Macaca mulatta: one gene and its partners. The protein of the gene in region 2 purifies or fractionates together with the protein of the main gene of each other region. This does not show direct contact. Links are inferred from orthologs where the notes say so. Each region holds a gene or a part of one and is shown on either strand. Other genes may lie near its edges.

Region 1 (3,500 bases), on a different chromosome or scaffold from region 2:
GGATCACCTGAGGTCAGGAGTTCAAGACCAGCCTGGCCAGCATGACAAAATACTGTCTCTATGCACGGTGGTGGGTGCCTATAATCCCAGCTACTCAGGAGGCTGAGGTAGGGAGAATTGCTTGAACCCGAGAGGTGGAGGTTGCAGTGCGCCGAGATCACACCATTGCACTCCAGCTTGGGCGACAGAGGAGACTGGGTCTCAAAAAATAACAATAAATAAATAAACATACAAAAATTAGCCAGGCATGGTGGCAGGTGCCTGTAATTCCAGCTACTTGGGAGCCTGAGGCAGGAGAATCTCTTGAACCCAAGAAGCGGAGGCTGCTGTGAGCCAAGATTGCGTCACTGCCCTCTAGCCTGTACAACAGAGTGAGACTCCGTCTCAGGGAAAAATTAAAAAAAAAAATAAATAAATAAATATAATAAAGGGTTCTCAAAAAACTTAGGATAAATGCATCAGAAACAGTAATCAGACACATAATACAACAAAATATTCTTGATCTAAAATAAATAACCAGGTCTGAGATGGAATGCTATTATGTTCTAGGTATACAACTAATGAAAACTAGGCAGAGAAAACACATTAATGATAAGGGAACAAAAGGAGAATGAGAAAAGTCTGAGAATGGTCTCAGACTTCTCCATAATCCTAAATACTAAGCAAGAGTCACTGGAAGAGTATTTACAAAATTTGAAGTGGAACAGTTAGTGCCCCAAGAAGGTTATGCCTACTCAAGTGTGACAGCACAGAAAGAAATTACCAGGGGCACATGAGCTAAGGTAAAATAGCATTCATGCTACCCTTTTTAAAATTTATTACTATTTTTTTTTTTGAGATGGAGTTTCGCTCTGTCACCCAGGCTAGAGTGCAATGGCGTGATATCATTCACTGCAACCTCTGCCTCCTGGGTTCAAGCGACTCTCCTGCCTCGGCCTCCCAAACAGCTGCGACTACAGGCATGCGTCACCATGCCTGGCTAATTTTTTTGTATTTTTAGTAGCCAGGGTTTCACCATGTTGGCCAGGTTGGTCTTGAACTCCTGACCTCAAGTGTTCCTCCTGCCTTGGCCTCCCAAAGTGCTGGGATTAGAGGCATGAGCCACCACGCCAGGCTACCCTTCTTAAAAAGATTGCTTGAGTGAGGCACTCAGCTAATTGAGAGATTAAGTTTAAACTAAAAATTCATGAATGGGAAAACTGTGGAATAAAAGGACAACTGACACTAATTTGACACAGAAAATTATATAGCACTATAAAATTAATGCAAAATAAAAATTTTGAGAAGATAAATGATTAAAAAATAACAGGAATGTAAAAATTTGATTTAAAAGTAAGAAAGCTGGCAGGAGAAAAACGGAAGGGAAGAGTTAAGTGAATGTTAAATTCCTAAGTTACTACTTTGTTCTGAATTTTGATAAGAAAGTTTGAAATATGCATTTTAGTTGTGCTTTTTCAAATAATTTTAAAGTTGATTTAGTGATGGTTGCTTGTAATGAAGACATCGTTCTGTCGGACAGCTGAATGCTGGTGCACCTTTGTTACTTTGTTTAAAAAAAAAATCCACATCCCAACAAACACCTCATCTACAAGTGTGCCTACCACTATGATGTCAGCATCAGGAATATTCCATGGCCACAGGCTGTAATAAGCCTATTGAGAACAATCCACGTATCATAAAAAGCTTATTAAAGTTACCTACAAGAAAGATGACACTATGCAATCTTACAGTTTATCACATGGATGTACAGAACATACATACCTGCACACTGGCTGTTACCACTGAAGACCCTGAGGCAGTGGATGGTCTATGTGGAGTAGACAATGGTTTGGTAGCACCCTGTGTTCCACTTCCTGTTCCCCCAGATAGACTAGTCCTATTAGCTCCGCTTGAGTTAAGGTTGCTACCTCTGCTGGCAGGTACATTCATTGCAATTCCACTCAAGCTATTCTTCCCAACAGTTCCAGTGGATGATGAGTTTGTTAGCTTTGAGGGGGCCTGAAGATTTTTTGTAGATGGAAGGCCTGAAGTGCGATTAGAGGGCAATAAATTCAAGGTGGGAGACTGTCTGCTGATGTTCATTCCACTGGGCTGTTTATGGACCGGGTTGTTAGTGCTGGAGTGGCTACTCTGGGCTACTAGTGCATTTGGACTGGAACTACTTGGGGATACAGTAGGCTTGGGAGTCGGGTTGGATTTAGAAATAAGTTTAGTTGATACTGAAGGCTTAGCTGACAGAGAGGGCTTGGGTGAGGCAGAAGGCTTAGGCGAGGGCAGGGGTTTAGGAGATGTGGCAGGCTTGGGAGATGCGGCAAGTTTTGGGGAGGCAGCCATCGAGAAGGGAGATTTGAAACCCTGCGTGGAGATCTGTGACACCATAGCCTTGGCTAAATAGTTACTGGAGGTAGTGGTGCTAGGTACTGTCCTAGAAACCAGGGGGTGGGACCCTTGAGAACCATTTCCAGGTGAGGGGGTAGATAAAGGAAGGCGGTACATAAGTGGCTTATCTGAAGTCTTAATAAGCGAGGAGGGACAGGAGAGTTGGGGATTATTACTTAACTTCACCACAGGGTTGGTCTGGGATTTACTGATGGTGGCCTGTAATGGAGACACATAGTTCTGCTGGACAGCTGAATGCTGGTGCACCTTTGTTACTTGTGTTAATGAAGAAGCATCTTGGGCCTCGGATGTTCCCAGAGCATGAGAAGAGGCAGCAATTTGGGCTTGGGAAGAAGAGGAGACGTGGGTCTGTGAAGAGGAAGAAGTGTGAATCTGGCTTGACCTCTGAAGTCCTTGTTGAAGTAGCCTGGCTGGCAAAGGTTCTAAAGAAACTTTAGGGTTCTGAATGGAAGAACCAGCAATAAGGCCTGAAGAGATGCCAGTATGAGCTAAATCCTGGGGTTTCTTTGGTACTGGCCCTGTGTGACCAGCAATAAGACTTGAAGAATGTGTAGGCTGAGTAGAATCTAGTTTTTTGGGAGTAGCCAGTGGCAGCTTACTCATGATACTAGCTAATTTTTCTTCTCTCAGTCCTGGACGAGGCTTTGTGGTTGGCATGCTTATCCTTGAGCCAACAGGAGGGCCCTTGTTCCCACTGTTGATAACCGCTAAAGCTTCAGAAACAAGATCCAGTGAAGGTGAATGGAAAGAAAGGTCTTCATCTAGTGAGTCGTCGAGGCAGATGGTTTCTTGGGCTGGTGCAGAGCTAGAGCTGGCTGCAGCAACGGCAGTTGTGCTGGAGCTCGTTGGAGGACCGCTAACCGAAGCCACCAGGGATGCCGGAGTTTTCTGGTCCTTTTTTGGACTATACTCCTAATGTAAAGCATCATATGAAAAAAATAGAAATGGTGAATAAAAAATTACAAAGTTAATTTTAAATAACTAAGAGATTTTCATGACAATTAAAATTGTTTTTCTACTGGAAATGTTTAGGGACTATCAAAACAAAAATAATTTTTGAGATGACAGAGCTCCTGACTGAGCTGTCCTCACAAGACAAA
Region 2 (4,062 bases):
GTAGGAGGGGCTGACATTAGCTGTCTCACATTAACTTTCAAAAGACCATCAGATGAAAACGTTTCATCAAAAGCCACCTACTTAAGTATGAACAATGCCCAAAGAATGACAAATCAACATTCTGGGCACTATCCTAAGAGAAAACTCTTCCAGAGCAGATACTTCAGAATTAATTTTCTCTCTGAATTTGGCCAAGTTTGGTGGTTTCATTCACAACATTTAAGGAAAAAAGTGACGGTTTATGGATAGCAGGTAATAAAAACAAATCTTTATACCACTTACTAGTAATAGAAACGGTTTAGGCTCACAAATGTGTTAAAGCTTTCTCTTTCCCCGCAATGGTAGTCAAACAGCATAAACGAATCAACATTTCCTCAGTTCAGATCTCAACTGGTTACAGGCAAGCAAGGGCTCCTCAGAATTTGCTTTACTAATGGTTTAGGTCAGAAATTTTTTTGAAGATCAAATGTCTTGCTATGTCTTCGTGTTCTTTTCCCCATCTCTATTATGTGTGTTGCCCTGTTGGTCTCCTGACACTTCCATTTTCTCCTTTTATGTTCCTGCTATGCTCTCCCAATGGCAGTAACCTAGGGTATAACTGATCACACCTCTTGTGATTTTTTTCTTATTCTAGGACTTTCCAGATCTGGACTCCGAAGAAGACGCCCAGGTGTAAGCCCAAAGGTTACCTATTTAAATTTTCCAAGCACAGTGTGTGGAAAATCATTCCTCGCCCTTCATTTTGTGTTGCTTAACGGCGCTGTCGTGCCTAAACGTAGATACTGGCCAAGAGCTAGATTTCCAAAATGGCTTTGCTCCTTTCGAGCTGACATCGGTCTATAACATGCAATTTATTTCCCCTGCAGGCAATCTTTTTCTCTACTCCAACTACTACCCGATACACAGAAAGCTGAACCTAACCCAGTGTAAACACCGATTCTCATCTGCTAAATTCAGCAAGGCCGGCAAAGCTGTTGCAATGATGTAAAAAGAGCGTTAAAAAATTAAAAAAAAAAAAAAAAACACAAAAAACCACAAAAAAACAAAAAACGCCAAAACACCCACACGAAGCCAACCGGAGGGGCGGGCGTCGGCCGAATCGCGCCCTCCCGCCGCGGCCACGCCTCCCCGCCGCGGCCACGCCCCCGCCGCCCCTCTCCGCGCCGCCGCCGGCGGCCTCCGCGCGGGCCTCCCAGCCCTTATTCCACTCACTTTGTTCTCCGCCTTTGTCCTAATCCACACCAGCAGGTGGAGCCGCAGTTAAAGTTTCCGAGTCCATTCCGGGAGCGGGAGCCCATCTTGCTGGCTGCCGAGGCCCTCGCTGGAGGAGGAGGGTCAGAGCTCGGGTGCAGCCAATCGAGGGCAACGCTGCTACTTATCAGAGCAGAATGGGCTGTAGTTTAGTGAAATAGGAAAGCTGCAAAACACTGTGGAGTGCTCCCGTGTAAATAAAAAGAGGAAAAAAAAAGTTTCTCAAGTCGCCGCTGCACAACGTCGGGCCGGCGCTGGGGCGGGGGTCTGCGCTCTCCCGAGCGGCCGCGCGCTGGACTTTATTGTGCCGCAACCAGCCCCAGTTCCCATTGTTTGTGTTTTTTTCAAAATATGGCAAAGGTTCAGGTGAACAATGTAGTGGTGCTGGATAACCCTTCTCCTTTCTACAACCCGTTCCAGTTCGAGATCACCTTCGAGTGCATCGAGGACCTGTCTGAAGGTGAGTGCGGCGCCCGTGCGCCCGGGCTGTCAGTTGCGGGCTGCAGACGTTGAAAGTTTCCCGGGCCCGGCCTCGCGCTGGGCGGCTGTGTTCGGCGCCTGGCGGCCGCGGGCTGCTCTGCGGAGGGAAACTTCAAGTTGATGGTCGACGGCCGCCGAGGCGCGCGCGGCTTTCCGCCGCAGCCCAGGCGCCTGCCGGGCTCAACTTGCGAGGAACTTGTTTGAGCGGAGGAAGCCATGTTGTCAGCTTTGTCTGCGGGCGGGCAGCTCGGAGACCCGCACTCGCGCCCGCGGCGCCTCCTGGGGTCGCGCCGGGCTGGCTTAGCGCCGCCAACAGCTTCCGCGACCCTCCGGGCCCGGGCACGGAGGCTGGGAAGGGAGAGGCTGTGCGTGTGGTCGCGCCGGCGAGTTCGGAGCGGAGCCATCTTACCCCAGTCGAGAATTGGGCCAGCGACCCCGGCGCACGGCGCCTCTTCTTGCCCCTTCGCCCGCCTGCCCCCGGCGAAAGGGAGGCAGTAACTCTCGAGAGCTCACGGTGGAGTCGCCGCACTCTCCGGGCTGGCCATGCCTGGCCGCTTCGGGGAGGAGAGCGAGGCTGTCCTCGCGCTGATTTCTGGCTTCCTCGACCAACCAGCGGGGGAGGCGGGCGCAGGCTCGGCCCCTCCGCGCCGCGGGCTGGGCGCCGGCACTCCCCGGGGGCCGCGGGTCCTGTTCGGCCGGTCCTCTTCGGCCGGTGCCCGGGATGCGCCGGGATGCTGGCGCGCAGGCTCCCCAACCAACGTGGACTCCTTTCCCCTAATGACGAAAAGCTAATCTCAGGAAGAGAGAGAGAGCTGAGCTAGGAAGTTACATTTAACCTAAGAGCAGAAATAAGATACTTAAATAATTTCCAGGACTTAATCTCTGCCTTCTAAATAGTCTGAAAGAAGACTTTCTTCAAGAGCGTGTTGAAATGTAAAATAACTCCACATCCAGATGCAGAACACACCCTAAACATAAAACACAAACGTAGGCTAGGAAATTAAGGTAAACAACTCATGTCAGTCCAAGAATTCCTGGTATTTTTTCTACATATATTTTAAGGTCTTAAAAATACGTATTCTTAATATGTTTAGTAATAAATATTTAGAAAGCTAAAACAACAATTATCTTTGCTTTAATTATATTTTACTAAAGTAATTCAGTACTTCATTTGCCAGTTTTGAAGGGGAAATAGTTTAACTTCATCGATGAGGGGCATACTTCTTTGAACTAGAAGTGTATTTTTAAAATGCTCTGAAGATGATTTGGCTAATCGTGGCATGTAAAACTTTTCATTTTAAAAACTAGTTTTTAATCTCTAAAATGTATGTATCATATGTAAGGTTAATTTTAATTATAAAACAATATATATCATTGTAATAAACTTTTAGAAAGTTGTACAGGCATATATAAAGTTAACAGTTCTCTGTACTCAATGCCTTCCCCTATCTCCTTTAGGTAATCACAATTACTACTTTAACATGTGCCCCTCTGTGGGGTTTTTTTTTTTTTTTTTTTTTTTTTTGGTAAACCTATATAGAGTATAAATGCACATACATATATAGGGCAAATTTTGAAAGATGATTCATTTATTAAAATAATTTCAAATAGGCCATTGATAACACTTAGGGGTATTTTTCTTATTACTCTGAAGTCATCTGTATGATACTACTATTAATATAAGCATTGCAGCTACCAGGCCCATTTTTCACACCCAACAGTCAGTAATTTTTTTTTTTTTTTATTGCCAACTGCATATAAAAATAGACAAAAGAAAAACCATTGATCGGTCCATTCCAACTTACACCACAGTGTTTTTCAAGTATACCACCAGAAGTTCTTCAAATTACAGGTATTTCTCAAGTGATGCCTTCCATTTTAGGAGTCAGCTCTGAACAAAGAAGATAGATGACTCAGGATGTCGTTACAGGGCTTTTACATTGCATAGATGAAACCAGCCATTCATAAAGCCAAAACAGGTTCCATTTTTAACTGGGATCCATTCAGAACCCAGCTGAATCACATCAGGGTTTTACAGTACTGGTATCAAAAATATACTTATTTCCAATGGTATATTTCACTTCCTAGGCACCATTACTGAGCATTTATTTAGTATTTTAAAAAATATTTTAAGCTGAGTCATACTGAAGCTGCAAAGGAATCTTTCAAAAAGGTGCCATGCCTGTATACTCCACCTAGAGGCTATGTGGATTAAGGAAATTGAGTTTACTTAGCAAAGGCTTCTTATAGGTTCCATACTTTTATATTATAGTTCTTTTAAAAATTCTGTTCTTAAACTATAGAATTTTTTTTTTTTTTTAAATGAGACAG
Region 3 (3,500 bases), on a different chromosome or scaffold from region 2:
GGTCATTAGGGCCTCCTCCCCACCACTCTCCTCCACACCCTGGGAGGGGACTGCTGGGGCCTGGCCTGGCGTCGCCCAGCAGCAGGTAACCTGAAAGGTAAGGACCTGGGTCCCCTTGCTCTGGCCACCCCCATAACCCAGGCTGTATCTTCCAAGGTCTCTGACGGAAACTTCTGCCCACCCAGCCCTCAGGGGCCCTGATATGCATGTCCTTGGCAAAATGGGGTCTGGCCCTGCCCTGACTCCTGCCAGCTCAGCACCCCTTTCTTCTCACACTATGGTGTGGGGTTGTGGGGGGGTTTCCTGTGTGGATCTATTTTTTAAGGACATCAAAAGCAGAAACAGCTCTCCTGTCTCCTGAGTGGTCACCACTCACATGTCCACCTGCTTCACCTGGGCCAGTGGAGGAGGCACGGCACCCTGGTGGACCTGGGCCTGGGCCCAGCACTGGGGCCCAGGCAGCTGTGCTATGCACTCTGCCCAGCTGGACAATGAAATGGTGGGGACTGCTGGGGTTTGGGGCACTCCCTGCCAAGGACTCTGGCCCTTAGCTGGGGACCAGGCCCACCTACTCCCCACAGCATGCCCTGTCTGGCCCACAGCCTGCTTGGTCAAAGCTGAACCTCCCAGGCTTCCGCTGACGTAACAGCCCAGGCAGGTGGTGGGGGCCTGAGGCCCCATTCCACTGAGAGGAAGCCTGTCTGGACCCAAAAGGCAGCTACCAACCCTCTGCTAGGGGACCTGGAACAAAGGGACCTGGGGTGATGCTACCCGGGGCATCGGGCCACCCCTGGGGACAAGAGGCTGCACCTACTCAAATGGCATGCCACCAAACCTCTGGCTTGGAGGCTTATGTTTTAGACAGAGCACACCTGCTCTCTCTGCCTGCCATGTCTGCCCCTCCCTGCCTCATCCTCTCACTGAGATCTGATCCCATCCCTCCCACTTCTTCGGTCGTGGAGACCCCACCCCAACTCATAGCCAGACCCTGCCCACTGGCTTCAAGCTGGACTTCTCCCATGGAGACTTCTCTCCTCCAGACCCAGCACCTTACCTGCTCCTGCTCAAGCCCTTTCCAGCCTCATCACTTCTCAAAAATAGCCCTGGCCCCTGGGTTCCCATATCCATCAGGCCCCCATCCTCACTGCCCTGGCATTGCTGACCAGCTGGCCCCTGGGAACACTCTCCTTCCTGGCTACTTCCCTGTCCTGCCCAAGTCTCTTCTCTGTGCCTGTGACCTGGCCAAGGTCCTTGGCCCTGCCTGTGTCCTCTTCTGGCCTCTGATGGCTTCAGGGGCACTTACCCCAGGTCTCTGGCCTGGACTGCCCCTCCAGGTGGGGGCCCCTGACCTTCCTGACCACTTGGCCTCTCTCTCTTAAAAGAGTCTCAGACTCAACACAAACCCAATCTCAACCCTGGCTTGGGGTCCTCCCAGGAGGGGCCTCCCCCACTCCCTACTCTCTGCCATATCTTGGACCCTGCCCCAGCCCTGGCCTGGCCCCTGAACCAACCCCTTCTTCCCCACTTAGGAGCGTGGCTGCCTTGCTTTCTCCCTGCTTAATAAACTCCAGGACTCCTGCCTACCCTCTCTTAGGACACCTTGCTCCCTACATGCCCTCCCCTCATGGAGGGGGGGGTCCCTGTGTAGGCTGCATCTCCACCTTTACCCAGCCACCTGGCTCCTAACCAGCCTGGCTCTAACATTGTTTCTTCTACTACTGTCCCAGAAGGAATGACCTTCCCAGGTGAGGTCAGCTGGCTAGGGGTCATCCTCCTTGATAGAGAAAAGGTGGCTGAGGTGAGGAGACCCCTCGGCATGTCTGAACTGGGGTCTAGGCCCTGTCAAGTTCCCGCCCACCATGGCCATGGGCTGGAGGCTCAGCTGACCCCTGCTCATCTCCCCTTGGCCCAAGCTGACCACCACAATAACAGTCCCAAAAGTGGAACTATTTCTCAGCCTGCATCCTAGGGCCTTGACATGGAGCAGGCTCCGCAAGATGAGGCTGGCACAGGCTAAATTGGGCTTACCTGTCTCTGGGCGGCAGCCCCAAGATGGACCTGGCAGAACTTCACAGCCTGCTCCAGCGCAGCCTCCTCATCCACCTTAACAGCGAGATGCCGGAGGTCAGGGGGCCCAGGCCATTGTGGTGAGCCTCCCCCAGCCCTGTCTGTGTATGTAGCACGGACCAGCCTAGGTAGGGGGCATGCCCTGTGGCTCGGGTGCCCCCCACCACCCCAGACTCCACTGAAGAGCCAGTTGTCCCCACTGCTGTCCACACCCGGACCCCTACCTCCCAGCTCTTCATGGGTAGCAGGGGCAGGTGCCCATCCATCTTCCAGGTGGGGGTGCCTGTTCAGGTGCCACAGCACCAGGTACTGGTGCCAGGACTAGACCCAGCCGTTCCTCTGAGCCCATCTGGCTATACCAAGCTCATTTCTATGGCTGAGTTACTTACATCCTCACAAGCTGAAGCTGGCAGGCAGACTCAGGGCTCCAACCAAGCCTTCAAATTCAGCTGAGGCTCAGCTGCTAGGGGATGAGGGGAGTCTTCTGAGCTAAAACCTGCCCCGTAAGTGGGCAGGATAGAGGGCCATGATTAGAGTGGGAGAGGCCTTTTAGAATCCCAGGCCTGATGGAGATCGCCCCATGCTGTGTCAAGTGTGTCTGGAGATTCAGTGCCCAAGGTCCATATGATATGGGGCAGTTGGGGCTGGGGTGCATTGCAAACTGACATGATTAGAGGGAATACTGTATGTCAGGGATGGTCATCCCATCTGAGCCAGTCACTAAAGTTTTGGAGATTCTTCCTATGGGAATAATTTTAAACGGAGAAAAAGGAAAGTGCTTGATATATTAAAATAAAATGTTTTAAAAAAGAAGGCAAAATGAGAAGGGGATCTCTGGTCACTGCAGCCATCTTTAGATGACAGCCACAGAAGTCTTGAAGGAAATGCCCTAAGATGCGCCCAGAGGCCCGTAACAGCGGTGGGAGCAGCGGTCCAGACTCCCTGCGCTGGTTGTGATAAGGTTTCTGAGATAGGCTCTCACTTCCTTCCAGGCTGAATATCAACTTTTTAAAGCTCATTGCAGAATGTAAACAGTGGGGAATGGGGTGGGAAGAACACCTAAAACCCAGCTCAAGGGCAGGCCCGGGAGACCCTCCTTGAGAATAGAAAGGCAAGAGTGGGGATGCTACCAGCACACAAGTGCCCCCAGGCCTCTGCCCGCCGCCCACCTGCTTGATGAGCATGTAGGTCTCCGACATGATCCTCTCCACACGGCCAAGGTCGTAGGCCACACCCTTCTGGCCCTGCTGCCACACACGGTAGGCATCCAGTAGAAGTGTCTTGCCTGACTCCGTGTCCTCCAGGAGCTTCCTCTTGCGGCTGAGCCGGGGGAGCGGCTCCTCGGGGTGGCCCCCTGCCCTGGTCCCTATGGTGGTGGCAGGGGCGGGGGCTGGCTGGGCTGGGGTGAGCGGGGTGGGCTGCTGCCGGGCACT

Evidence for each region. Proteins that work in one complex are often made in the same cells at the same time.
Region 1: the proteins of ASF1A (region 2) and UBN2 purify together in Homo sapiens (affinity purification with mass spectrometry; 3 studies listed by BioGRID and IntAct, counting the BioPlex papers as one, with this or other methods). This does not show direct contact. The link is inferred for Macaca mulatta from reciprocal best matches to the Homo sapiens genes ASF1A and UBN2.
Region 3: the proteins of ASF1A (region 2) and CABIN1 purify together in Homo sapiens (affinity purification with mass spectrometry; 4 studies listed by BioGRID and IntAct, counting the BioPlex papers as one, with this or other methods). This does not show direct contact. The link is inferred for Macaca mulatta from reciprocal best matches to the Homo sapiens genes ASF1A and CABIN1.

Annotation. Positions count from the first base shown.
Region 1 is NC_133408.1:179,124,622-179,128,121, reverse strand, and holds part of UBN2 (ubinuclein-2), read right to left. Parts: intron 3,313-3,500; coding exon 1,762-3,312; intron 1-1,761.
Region 2 is NC_133409.1:23,859,256-23,863,317, forward strand, and holds the start of ASF1A (histone chaperone ASF1A), read left to right. Parts: upstream 1-1,262; 5' UTR 1,263-1,602; coding exon 1,603-1,711; intron 1,712-4,062. UniProt on the Homo sapiens protein: Histone chaperone that facilitates histone deposition and histone exchange and removal during nucleosome assembly and disassembly.
Region 3 is NC_133415.1:28,349,091-28,352,590, reverse strand, and holds part of CABIN1 (calcineurin-binding protein cabin-1), read right to left. Parts: coding exon 3,237-3,500; intron 2,104-3,236; coding exon 2,029-2,103; intron 1-2,028. UniProt on the Homo sapiens protein: May be required for replication-independent chromatin assembly. May serve as a negative regulator of T-cell receptor (TCR) signaling via inhibition of calcineurin. Inhibition of activated calcineurin is dependent on both PKC and calcium signals.